3 linked regions of the Coturnix japonica genome follow. The protein of the gene in region 1 binds, or shares a complex with, the protein of each later gene. Links are inferred from orthologs where the notes say so. Each region holds a gene or a part of one and is shown on either strand. Other genes may lie near its edges.

What was found.
Region 2: GTF2A1 (region 1) and POLR2K share a complex: the UniProt entries of both Homo sapiens proteins name them as parts of the TBP-based Pol II pre-initiation complex. The link is inferred for Coturnix japonica from reciprocal best matches to the Homo sapiens genes GTF2A1 and POLR2K.
Region 3: GTF2A1 (region 1) and GTF2H5 share a complex: the UniProt entries of both Homo sapiens proteins name them as parts of the TBP-based Pol II pre-initiation complex. The link is inferred for Coturnix japonica from reciprocal best matches to the Homo sapiens genes GTF2A1 and GTF2H5.

Annotation. Positions count from the first base shown.
Region 1 is NC_029520.1:37,067,129-37,070,777, forward strand, and holds part of GTF2A1 (transcription initiation factor IIA subunit 1), read right to left. Parts: intron 2,944-3,649; coding exon 2,879-2,943; intron 808-2,878; coding exon 732-807; intron 1-731. UniProt on the Homo sapiens protein: TFIIA is a component of the transcription machinery of RNA polymerase II and plays an important role in transcriptional activation. TFIIA in a complex with TBP mediates transcriptional activity.
Region 2 is NC_029517.1:116,286,705-116,290,930, forward strand, and holds POLR2K (DNA-directed RNA polymerases I, II, and III subunit RPABC4), read left to right. Parts: upstream 1-1,334; 5' UTR 1,335-1,354; coding exon 1,355-1,429; exon of another isoform or gene 1,430-1,460; intron 1,461-2,230; coding exon 2,231-2,294; intron 2,295-2,998; coding exon 2,999-3,091; intron 3,092-3,260; coding exon 3,261-3,283; 3' UTR 3,284-3,749; downstream 3,750-4,226. UniProt on the Homo sapiens protein: DNA-dependent RNA polymerase catalyzes the transcription of DNA into RNA using the four ribonucleoside triphosphates as substrates.
Region 3 is NC_029518.1:46,900,650-46,904,763, forward strand, and holds the start of GTF2H5 (general transcription factor IIH subunit 5), read left to right. Parts: upstream 1-1,226; 5' UTR 1,227-1,326; exon of another isoform or gene 1,327-1,453; intron 1,454-1,591; 5' UTR 1,592-1,673; coding exon 1,674-1,708; intron 1,709-3,956; coding exon 3,957-4,114. Other genes in the region: protein SERAC1, read right to left, coding at 12-102. UniProt on the Homo sapiens protein: Component of the general transcription and DNA repair factor IIH (TFIIH) core complex, which is involved in general and transcription-coupled nucleotide excision repair (NER) of damaged DNA and, when complexed to CAK, in RNA transcription by RNA polymerase II.

The sequences.
Region 1 (3,649 bases):
AAAACATACTACAAATATTTGCAACTGAAAAAGAAAACAGTAAGCATAACATAAGAAACAATATAATAGTCTTCTTAAAGCACAGATGTTCTTCCTTAGAAATTAGAAGATCTTAAATTTCTAGAACAGATACACATTCCAATTTTGTTTCAACTGTGTATCCACTACACATTCAGATGCATACAGCGGGAAGGTTAAGTTCCAGATGATTCTGAGCAGACTAAGTGAACTATTCTGGCAAGAAAAGCAACTGATTCTAGGAAACAAACTTTCTCAGGTTTTCCTTTACCACCCCAAGCAACTCCACAGGTTTGAGGCAGACTGGCTGGAAGACTGCACGAAGAAATGAATCTGCGGGTGTTGGTCACACTTGGCTTAACATGACCCAGCAGTGTGCCCATATGGCCGAGAATGCCAATGGCGTATCAGAAATAGTGTTAGCAGCAGGAACAGGGAGGTGATTGCCCCTCTGTACTCAGCACTGGTGAGGCTGCACCTGAGTACTGTGTTCAGTTTTGGGCCAGTAGTGTCCGTTTTCATGAACATGTCTAAAAAGCAGGGAAGACCTGCAAAGAATCTGTTAGGTTTGCAAGACTGGTGAGCAACAGTCCAAGATCTAGTTTTCCCTGATTTTGATATATGAACAATATACGTCAGCAAGTAAAATCCACAATTTCTCTCTCCCAAGCAACCACAAAACCACCACATGACCTCAGTGTTAAGAGAGTTACCTGAATTTGTAAGTATCTGCTGAACAGGAGTAACACCAGTAGGGAGAGCCAACGTAGCTGCAGTAGCAGCAGCACTCTGAAATACAAGAAAAGCTTTTTAGGAAGTATTATTGCCACTGTTTCATGTTACAACATACTGCCTGAAACCATGTACCTCTCCCGACCTACTAATAAAATACTGCATGGCTTAGGAGGCAGTTTTACATTTTCAAAGCAGCTAAAGTCATGAGCCCACAAATTTGAAGATAAGGTACTTCAGCAGTGACTATGTTCACTTGTTTTCACAAGGAGCAGCGATCAGGTTTGCACTTTTCTTCATTCTACAATTAATCTACATTTCAAGTGCCAAATAACACAATTCTTTCAAGTGAATATACACACACAGCATACTGACTGCTCATAGAATTACTTATTTTTTTCTCTCAAGACAGTTGGTTAGAAGAGTCACAAGGACTCTCAGTGGGTAGTGATTCTATCTTACAGAAATTAAATTTTAATGCAATTCACATAGTTTCAAACACAAAAATCTGCATTAAGTCCTTGACTCATATAGGGAGACAGATTTCTCCAGAGGTTTTTCTACTTCACGTGTCTAACAGCAGTTATCTTTTGAAAATCCTCCCTTCCTCACTACAGAGGAACCATGAGAAATTACCCTCCGCAACTGAAAGGATTTAAACTTCATTACTGGGTAAAGTACATAACATCATGGTTATAAGAAATATAATCTCCCCTTACTGACTGATCCATATAGTAGTAATATCACTTCCAAAATAACAGAAAAACAAGCAAAACTCTAAAGTGGTTTTCTGCATTCATATATCCCAAAGGCAGATAGATAAATTCTCATTAGTTGCCGTTCTCCAAGACATTCGAGGTCAGATACGTTATTTAATACCAACCTAAAAGCTTATTAGAAACACATAAATATTCCAACTTAGTTCTATAAAAAAGTATTTATTGAATAGTAGTCTTCTGCAGTTTACAGTTCTTTCTTGTTTTGACAGCACCTGAGTTTTAAAATCCCCACAACCTCATTTTTGCAATATCCATCAACAAAACTTTGTTAAATGAGATGGGAAAAAATGTTTAATTGTTTTTCTGCAGAATTCACAAACTACACTGAAACAGTTGTAAAATACTTTACATTAGCATGAGACATTAGCATGCTCTCAGCTTCTGAATACATCTTTCTATTTGAGTAATGAAGTTCAGATTCTTTTCTATAACAAGGACAGCAGGTAATGGAGAACTAAGGTTATGAAAGTTACCAATGCCTTGACTAATCATAAAACATTGCTTCACATGGTTTTATCAGAAAAGTAGTTAAAATGTAATACATTCTGGTTTTAAATTGTTTAATTATTATTAATAATAATCATTATTATTAATTATTATTAATTATATTTATAATAATAATTAATAATATAATTATAATTATTCAAGAAACAAGTATCTATCTATCTATGCTTATATATATATATTATATATATATATATAATGATTAATATATATATATATATATTAATGAAATATGTATATATATTTCATTAAGCCAGGGCATTTAAAAAAACAAAAACAAAATTAACCTCTTGAGATAAAAACTAAGAGAAATGAATAAATGACCATACTGTTTTATATTCTCCTATAAATTAAAGAATCTAAATAAGACGAGCAGAAAAGGTGGATCTGAGTTGCTAAATAAACTCTCATTTGCTATAAGCTGAGACTTCGGAACAGCTGATGCTGTTCCCTGTATCTAACAAATACAATGTTTGTATCATTCAGTAGTGTTACATTAGCATGAGACAAGTACATAATGCAGATTTGCACCAAGAGTACTCCAATTTCTAATTTAAATAAAGTTTAGGCTTACCACACTTGAAATCATAATGATTAATGATAATCATAATGATAATCACCAAGTTTGGAAAAGACCCCCAAGATCACCCAGTCCAGTCCAGTGTTACTAAGTCCTTGGTTACTTCTAGATTGTCATTTCAGAAGCAGAACTCAGAAAGCAGGCAGACAGTTTTATCAACATGTCCTGCTTTTAAGCATCTGATGACCAGATTAGTTTTCACTATTCAGTCAAAACAACTTATACAATGACAGCATATAGATGTACAAGCCTCTGCTTTCCTTACCATGCCCGATGCATTCATGTGCGGTATCAGCTTGGAATCTGGCACAATAACCTGCTGCTGAGGTGCTATAAACAGGAAAAATACAGCAATTCATCAGTACTACAGCCTATCAAAAATAACATTCAAACCAAAATAACTTTGAAAAGACATCACACAAATACCAGGTGAGTTTCACAGCAAAAACAGCTACTGAGCAATCTCTGATCTTAAAAGTTTTACAGTCAAGACAATATACAACAGCAGCTCTGAGATGCAGTATGGCTATTTTGCCTTTTACAGATTTTGCTTCGATGCCTTCTATTACCTATTCTGACTCTACGTAAAGTAAAATTTTAAATGTATTTCTGAAAGCTATGTCACGGGGTTATCCCAAGATATAAGACCGTGACAGGGGGACACAGGCCCCGGGAAAAGATTGAAAAAGAAGGAGGAAAAAAAAAAAGGAGAGACAAAGGAATGAAGGAAAAGAAAGGAAAGAGTTTGCCCCACGACCCGGCCGGCCCCGGGCCACACGCTCCGGGAGAGGGGGAAGGGCAGAGAGAGAGCAGATAGTTCTAACAAAGAGAAAACACAATGGCAACGATCTGAGGAGGAACGGGAATTTACTAAATGTAACCAAATCAAACAAAACGAGAGAGAGAAGAGTACCCAAAGTAGGAGTCAAACCACGACAGTGCGAGGGAAGCACGTGCTTTTCTCCGCGGCGAGCTGAGACAGCCAAAGGCAGAGAGCGGCTGGGATCCAGAGTCCGACCCCGCTCCCTCTTCGCAC
Region 2 (4,226 bases), on another chromosome or scaffold:
TTCATTTTAATTAGCTTATTTGTACCCGACAGCTCAGGAGCTAGATAATCATACAGAACTTCTGTTTTTTCTTTCATGGTTTACGCTTACGGCTCCACCAGAAACACTGTGAGATAAAACATGCTTTAAATCGTTGGGAGTAACTCCGAATGTAACGCCTCCACCCAGGGCAGAAAGATGGAGGTTCTCCGTGGTAACTAAGGCTGAGCAGGGCGGGCTCCATCCCCCCCAGAGCGGGGAAACGGGGCGTCTCGGTGTACGGGTAGTGCGACCGGAGGGTAACTGTAACGGGTAAAAACATTAGGGTTTTTGCGCTGGTTCCTCGTTCCATTTTAGAATGCGAATTAAAGAGTTTAGAAATGGAATCCAGGGTTTCCCAAAGTGCTTTCTGTAGCAGTTTCACGCCAGTCGGAAGAATTTCTCTTCAGGACCGGCGTTTATCAGCCCGTCGGAACGGGGCTATACCCCGAGGGAGGCGGCGTGAGGCACAGAAGTAATGGACGTTTAAAAAGACTCCATCCCACCGGGGAGCAGTTAAATGATGGATATAATCAAGATAATGAATGATTTTCTCGGGACAATCGATATATATTTTTTTCTCATGGGGTATAATTAGTAAGTAGGTTTTAAAGCATCACCTCGATGCTTTAATCATTTCGTCAAACCCGTTTTAAAATACAAAACGAGTGCGGGGAAAGATTATCGGCTTTACTTTAATTTCAGTGATTAGTTACTTGTGAGGTGTTAATTACTTTGTGTCCATCACCGGAGGAAGGGATCGTTCCGTTTTGGTTGGTTGATTTTTGCTCCCGGCAGCAGCTCCCACCTCGGAGGACCCGGGGCAGCGAACATCACTGCCGTGCACGTCCCGTTATTCTTACATGTGTTTTATTCCGGCACTAAGAAGTTACACTTAACTTTATTTTCGCACAGCAGCAAGACAAAGCCGATGAGCCGCCTAGAAATCCTTAGCACGTTGTTATTACTTCTAGCTTTCCCCAGGAGACGGTTGTTATTCGGCGTTCGGAAAGACGCATTTCCTCACATCAGGGAGATGTTATCTACAGAGCAGTATTTGTTATACGTTCTTACGTACCTGAGGACGTGCCATTACTCACACAGGGACGCCTAAGGGGCACCCAGCACTCGCCCAGCTGTAGGGCTGAGCCGGTGACTGACAGCACCGCGGCTTGCCAGTTTGTTTCAATGCGGGAATACATGGCACAGACCGCAGGGTACCGAGATTTAGTTACCAGCGCCAGGCTCAGCTCACTAGCGCTTCCAACTCTCACTCCCCCAAGGCTCCATCAGCCGCTATCCGCTGTAAACCCGACACAGCGCCTTAAGGACGGCGATGCAGACCCGCCCCCTCCGGCTTTGCGTAGTGACGCCATCATTCGGCGCCGAGGGGACGGCGAGGAGTGTGGAGGTTGGTGCCGCTTTCGGCTTATCCCTGCCGGGTTGGTGGTGGTGGTAGATTCGGGGTGAGGGGGGAGTGGGGAAAGGGTCGACCAAGCCCCTGGGGGTCAGTGGGGAGGAGGCGTGGCTGGCGCTGAACCGAGGCGGGCTGGGGGGGGATCATTGAATCATAGGCTCATAGAATGAGCTGGGTTGGAAGGGACCTCAAGGATCATGTAGTTCCAACCCCCCTGCCTGGCAGGGCCACCAAACATACACATTTACTAGATCAGGTTGCCCAGGGCCCCGTCCAACCTGGCCTTGAACACCTCCAAGGATGGGGCATCCACAACCTCCATGGGCAGCCTGTTCTAGGACCTCACTGGTCTCCTAGTGAAGATCTTCCCCCTAATATCCAACCTAAGTCTACCCTCTTTCAGCTTAAATCCATTTCCCCTTGTCCTGGTATTATCAAGAAGGGGAGAAAAAATGCTTTCTTTCTCTGTATGGTCACAACCTTAAAACGTAGGTCTGCAGTAATACCTACATGTTAGGTGGGGGTTGCTAAAAAATGAATTGTTTGTGGAGTAGTTGTCTGATATTGTGAAGGAATGTTGGTGAACCTGAAGGCAAAAGGTTAGCGTGCCAGGACAAACAGAAGTCCTTTCCAATGTGTATCATCTTATGTAGCATATATTAAACAGAGCTTGAATATTTTTGTATTTATTTTAAAAGAACTTTTTCAATTTCTGTCAACTTTAGATGGAGATATTGAAATATTTGTGTAAGACAACAACAAAAAACATGTATTTTATTTGTTGTTTTTGCTTAGAACATGGATTCACAGAAGGACGTTCAGCCCCCAAAGCAGCAGCCAATGATTTACATTTGTGGAGGTAAAGAAAAGACATTAGTGGTATTCAATGCTCTAATAATGAGGAATGTGCAGTCATAGTGCCACAGAGTACAGAAATCTACATAACTGGGTTGTGGATCCTGATGATGCATTAAGCTTTATGCACTGATGCTCCCATATGCATGGATTACTTGTGGTTATTGATGTGGAAGTCGTTCACTAGAACCTCTGTTGCTGTGTGGGGGTCCTGCATCTCTAGAGGATGATAGCAGAACTTTTATATATTGCATCTTGGAGACAAAGTTTTTTTGGAAATAGTGTTGTCATTCAACTTTCACTAATGCACAGTTGTCAGATTTTCTCTACCTAAACATAAGTTAATAAAGTGAAAATTGGAGCTTTTGAGTAACCACTTTAAAAGCCTCAGAAAAATTTAGGCTTAAGAAAATAAACTTGGTGGCTCGGAGGGGCTGAGAGGAAGGTTTCATTAGTGGAGTGTGGAATGGTACAGTAATGTTTGGATACTTTTTAGCAATCTAAGTTTGCCAATTCTTTTTTTTTTTTTTTTCCTTAACAGTATCTTAATATAATTCAGTTACTTATTAAAATTCACTGCAATTATTTTCTGTTATGCTTTGTTTGCTAGTAAAAGGAATTAGACCATTGTTACATCTGAAAGCTATCTGTGCTTTAGATATGCTGCTTTTGTTCACTCATTGCTATTCTCCTTCTCCATCATATCAGAATGTCATACAGAAAATGAAATAAAGGCAAGAGATCCGATCAGATGCCGAGAGTGTGGGTACAGAATAATGTACAAGAAAAGAACAAAAAGATGTATCCTTTTACAAAGGCAGTCGAATGCATTTGGGAAGCTGTGGGGCAAGCTGTGTAAGAAAATTGACTTCAGATTTATGCATTCCCTCTTTTTGTTCTCCTTGACCCCTTTCCTCCCCTGATCTTTCCTTGAACTGCAACGCATTTTTCTTTAACTGCACAATTCCAGTGGTGGTTTTTGATGCCCGGTGATTTGACCTGAAGATACATCAATTTTATACTTCAGTTTAATATTTCTGGCAACTTTGCTCTGTAAATCCATTGGTGTATAAATGCATAGTTTAGTGGTTTAAGATATTAAAATATTAAACTTCACTGTGATACTACTTGCCATACCATCTCAATTCTGTCTATACTACTTTTAGAAATGGGTTTCTTCCTTAAACTTTAGTCAGAATGTGCAGCATTCTGTTAAATTCATTGGTATTATATTCATTTTTGAGTTAAGTGTTAACCTTGTTTTCACAGCTCACACCTAAGCCTTACCTGTGTTTCAGCTCTTCAGTGTTTTTTGGACTCCTGTGAACTGCATAAGATAATCTTGGTTTGAATAAATCCCAGTGAAGACATATTGAAAGTCACGCAAAATCAGGTCTGAAATTTGGATTTGAACTCGACAGGACCCAAATCAGGATAAAAATAAATGTGTAAATAGAGATTCTCAGGCTGTTTTGTGACCTTGCTTGTACTCACTAAAATAAGTAGGTCTACAGTATAAAGAAACCTTGGATAAGGTAAAACTGAAATAACGTCATTTTGCTTTTCGGATGATTTCTCATGAGTCTGTATTAAGAAGTGGTTGCCGTTTTGTACTGATAAGCCCAAACTTTTTGCATCCATTTTCCTGTTCAGAACATTTATATTCAGAATATTTAATACTAAAATACCCATAGCGCCAATTTGTCTTAAAAAACACTGCTGCTTTGTGTGTGGTGCTAATTTAGCCTGATTAAATGCTTGCAAATCCAAATTTTGTTTCCAGTGCTGATGAGGCTGTTGAAAGACAAACATGTCATTTCACTGTTATCTGTACAGTATGATACCACTATTAGGGGGTGTGCTGGCTGCTGCAGAAAGCAACAGGGATGGGTTTTAGTGGGCCCAAGGTTGTGGGCAGTGGTGAGGCTCAGGGCAC
Region 3 (4,114 bases), on another chromosome or scaffold:
ACTGTACTTACTTATATTATTCCAAGATGGGTGGTGTTTGGTGGCTGGGCCAGAAGTTCCTATTTGTCTACAGCAAAATATGCAGTAAGCAGCCACTGACATTCTGTATATTCAGAAAAAGAAAAAAATAAATAAATTGATTTGGCAATTACAACAGAAAACTTGTAGCCATGTTTCCCTTTTTACAGGAAAGGTTGTAAAGCATATTTATGTCATTTTGTGCGTTATAAAGCACTCTAAGTAAAAATTAAAAAGCCTATAAACTCCTGAATTTAGTAGTTTGCATTTTGGTTACAGCAAAAGTTTACAGAAAATCTTCATGCAATTACATATTTGTGCTAATACTGGTAAGTATCCATCTCTGACTACCTGCTCTGCTTTGAGGCAGAGGCATTTTTCTGTGATTCTTTACAGTGATTCTGTGATTCTTTACAGTGAGGGTGACGGAGCACTGGAACAGGCTGCCCAGGGAGGTGGTGGAGTCTCCTTCTCTGGAGATATTCAAGACCCACCTGAACGCCTTCCTGTGTGACATGGTGTAGGGAGCCTGCTTTGGCAGGGGGGTTGGACTCGATGATCTCTAGAGGTCCCTTCCAACCCCTACAATTCTGTGATTCTGTGTGAGGCCTTTTCCAATGTCTTAGTAATCCTCACTTAAACGCATCATGTTCACATGAAGACAGTGCTGAGTACAGCATATGACTTAGTAATTAGCTGTTCATAATTAATTTTATCTTAACACCCAAGTCTTGTATTTTGACTTAGCAGGCTCTAACAACTCATATACATTGTAGGCAAGTCAGATTTGGAAACGTTTGTCTTTTCTTGCTGACATACCCTGTAACATCACAGTTAATAAGGGATGTATTTTAGCATCTACAGATTGAGGTTCAATGAATGTACAGTTGTAGTGTTAAGCAATGAGGCATTTCAGGCCATGTGAAAGCACCGATTACTGTATGCACCAACTTTCTGCCCTGTCTCCTTTCAGCACTGCACTTATCCACTGACTTCATTTATTACATTTCTGATAAGCACGCTCTCCCTGCGGTCGCCTCCGCACAACTGGGGCAATGCCAGCGGCCAGCCCCACGCCAGGAGGGGCTTCAAGGCTGAGGTTTGACAAACACAATCATCGGACCACGGACAGACCCCATCCCTGGCCCCTCCTACTGCCCCGCCGCCATCCCCCTCTCTCCACAGCGCTACCCGTACCTTCCGCTTCCTATCTCCCTTCGCAGCCGGCACCGTCGCTCACGCACTCAACGTCATCACGCCGCACAGTGTCAGGAGGGCAATAGGAGGAGCGAGGGCTGCACTTGCGTAGTACGTGTATGTGGGGGCAGTGGTTGGGCTTGCTGGGCCGGAGCTACTCGTTCGCCGTCCTCGGTTTAACCTAGGGACGGGTTGGAGCCTGTCTGCCTTCGCCCCGGCCGCCTTTCGCAAGGCCACGGTTCGCACACGGCAACGGGAGGCTGGGCTGCTGTCGGAGGAGTGGGTGGGGGGATGGGGCATAGCCGCTCTGGGTGCTGGCGGGGCGAGGGGGGTCCTGGGTCGCTGAGTTCAACTAAAGCGTTTCTTTGTCTTACAGGTTTCATCTGCTGTTATCTGTAACCTCAAACAGGAGTCTTTGCTGCCACCCGCACCTTGCAGCGTTTGTGAGAGCTGCGAGGATGGTGAATGTTCTGAAGGGCGTCCTGATTGAATGGTTAGTGACAGCATCAGCATCTACTCAACTGTTTCTTTAGGACTGGAAATACTTTAGGTGCTTTTAAGAGTCTAGACCCAAAAATGTATTTGCTGTAAACTTCAGCCTGGAGAAGAGAAGGCTGCGGGGTGACTTTATTGCAGCCTTTCAATAACTGAAGGGAACCTACACCCAGGAGGGGAGTAAACTCTTCGAAAGGGCTGACAATAGCAGGACACGGGGCAATAGATCCAAGTTGAAGGAGGAAAGATTTAGGTTGGATGTTAGGGGGAAGTTCTTCACTAGGAGAGTGGTTACGCCCTAGAACAGGCTGCCCAGGGAGGTTGTGGATGCCCCGTCCTTGGAGGTGTTCAAGACCAGGTTGGACGGGGCCCTGGGCAACCTGATCTAGTAAATGTGTATGTTTGGTGGCCCTGCCAGGCAGGGGGGTTGGAACTACATGATCCTTGAGGTCCCTTCCAACCCGGGTCATTCTGTGATTCTGTGACACTGAGCAAACAGACAGATGAAAGGCATGGTTTTTAAGGGAAGAAGGAGAGAGACAGTTGTGGGTAATCTTAATTCCTGACTCATATTTTCAGATATGTTGTTTTCTGCTTAGACTTAACCATCATGTATTCATCTTGTTTGTTATATTGTAAATAATGTTAATTAGTTTTCATCCTGGGTGATGTGTTCTGATTCTAAAGGGAAATTTGTCCATGCTTCGTCTTTTGTTTTCTTTTTTTATCAATTCCAGTTCGCACACTCAAGGCTGGCTACTCTAAAATGAATATGCTCATAATTTCAGACAGTAAGCTGTTCATATCCGTGCAGTCCATTTGTTTCTATACAGTCTGAAGTCCCTAGACTAAGGTTCTGATAAGAATTACCTCCAGGTTAAAGAAAGTGTCACTCAAGGTTTGTGGAGTCATTATATATCATTACATTATGTACAGGATTTCTGCTGTATGTTTAAATTGTAAACATATTAACAGACTGTAACTGCATGAGTGCAGAACATCCTTCATGGTGCATACAGCTGTCTGCCTACTGTGGTTTACTTCTGAGCTGACTGGACATTAGCCAGCTCACATCTGAATGCCTCATAGTTTGGTATGAGCAGCTTGGAGCATGAATTCCACTATCACAAAAAGTTTCTCTGCTCCAATTTGGCTGCGTGCTACTATGCTGATAAACCTGAACGCAAGAAATGGCCTTCCTGCATTTTCTCAAGACACCCAAAGCAGAGTTGTTGACTAGCAAAACAAGAAATTCTAATATCTCAAGCAGACAGTACAGCCTTGTAGTTTTTTTGTAATTTATTTTACTTGCTCTGGAAGATTTGTGTGTTCCTGTACAATATTGTGATCATTTCCCATTTAGTATTAGCTTGAAACTTTATTATCCTCCCTGGAAGGAAATAGTTTGCCTGACAAGAAGTCTGTAGCATCTGTTATGCCATCAGAGTTTGAACAGCCCCTTGGGTAACTCACTTTTATGTTGGCTTTTCTAGCTGCTGGTTGCTTTCTTGTTTCCTTCTTGCCTTTGCATAATGGTAGCTGATGAGTCCATCCTGAGAGCAGATTACAAACCTGTCCCCTTGTTTACTTTTCAGATACCAATTTTTCACAACTCAGCTTTTCCAGGGCATCTTAGGTAAAAAGTCAGCAAGAAGTTTGGAAAAAATAAATACTTCTGAATGTGTTAAACATTAAAGTAAAACATTAAAATAAAACTATGAAATGCTGATAATATACAGATTTCTTCCTTCCCTCTGTATTATTCCAGTATATAGCTAAACTGTTCTGAGGACAAAATCTCAAGGATTATAATCTTCAAATGCTGAATAAGATCGGTGTTTCTGCTGTAACGTACATCTACTGGCACTGAGTGCACTCCTGTATGTTGATTATGTGAAAATATGTGTGTATTGCCTGACATATGCCTGGGCACACCAGCTTATGCTGTCTGGTACTCATAGTGTGTTGGTAAGGTACATCTGAAAGAAACAAGCAAAAATAAACCTCTGTGCACCCATAAAAAAGAGTGTGTGGAAGAAGACTGAGGACCACCCACTTTTGGTATCATTTTCATTGCTTCTTTGTGTAAACCTTGTCTTTCTTCTAACATTCTTTTGATTGCGAGCAGCTCTTGAAGTTGGTACAATTTTCCTAAGAACTTTGAGAATGTCTTAAAAGGATGCTCTTAATTTTTAGCTGTATCTTATTACAATGAGGTGGAATCTGATGTGTATTTGTCTCTGCAGTGACCCAGCAATGAAGCAGTTTCTGCTCTACTTGGATGAGTCAAATGCTTTGGGAAAGAAGTTCATCATACAAGACCTGGATGAAACTCATGTCTTTGTATTAGCAGAGCTGGTTAACTTCCTTCAGGAGAGAGTGGGCGAGTTAATGGACCAAAACT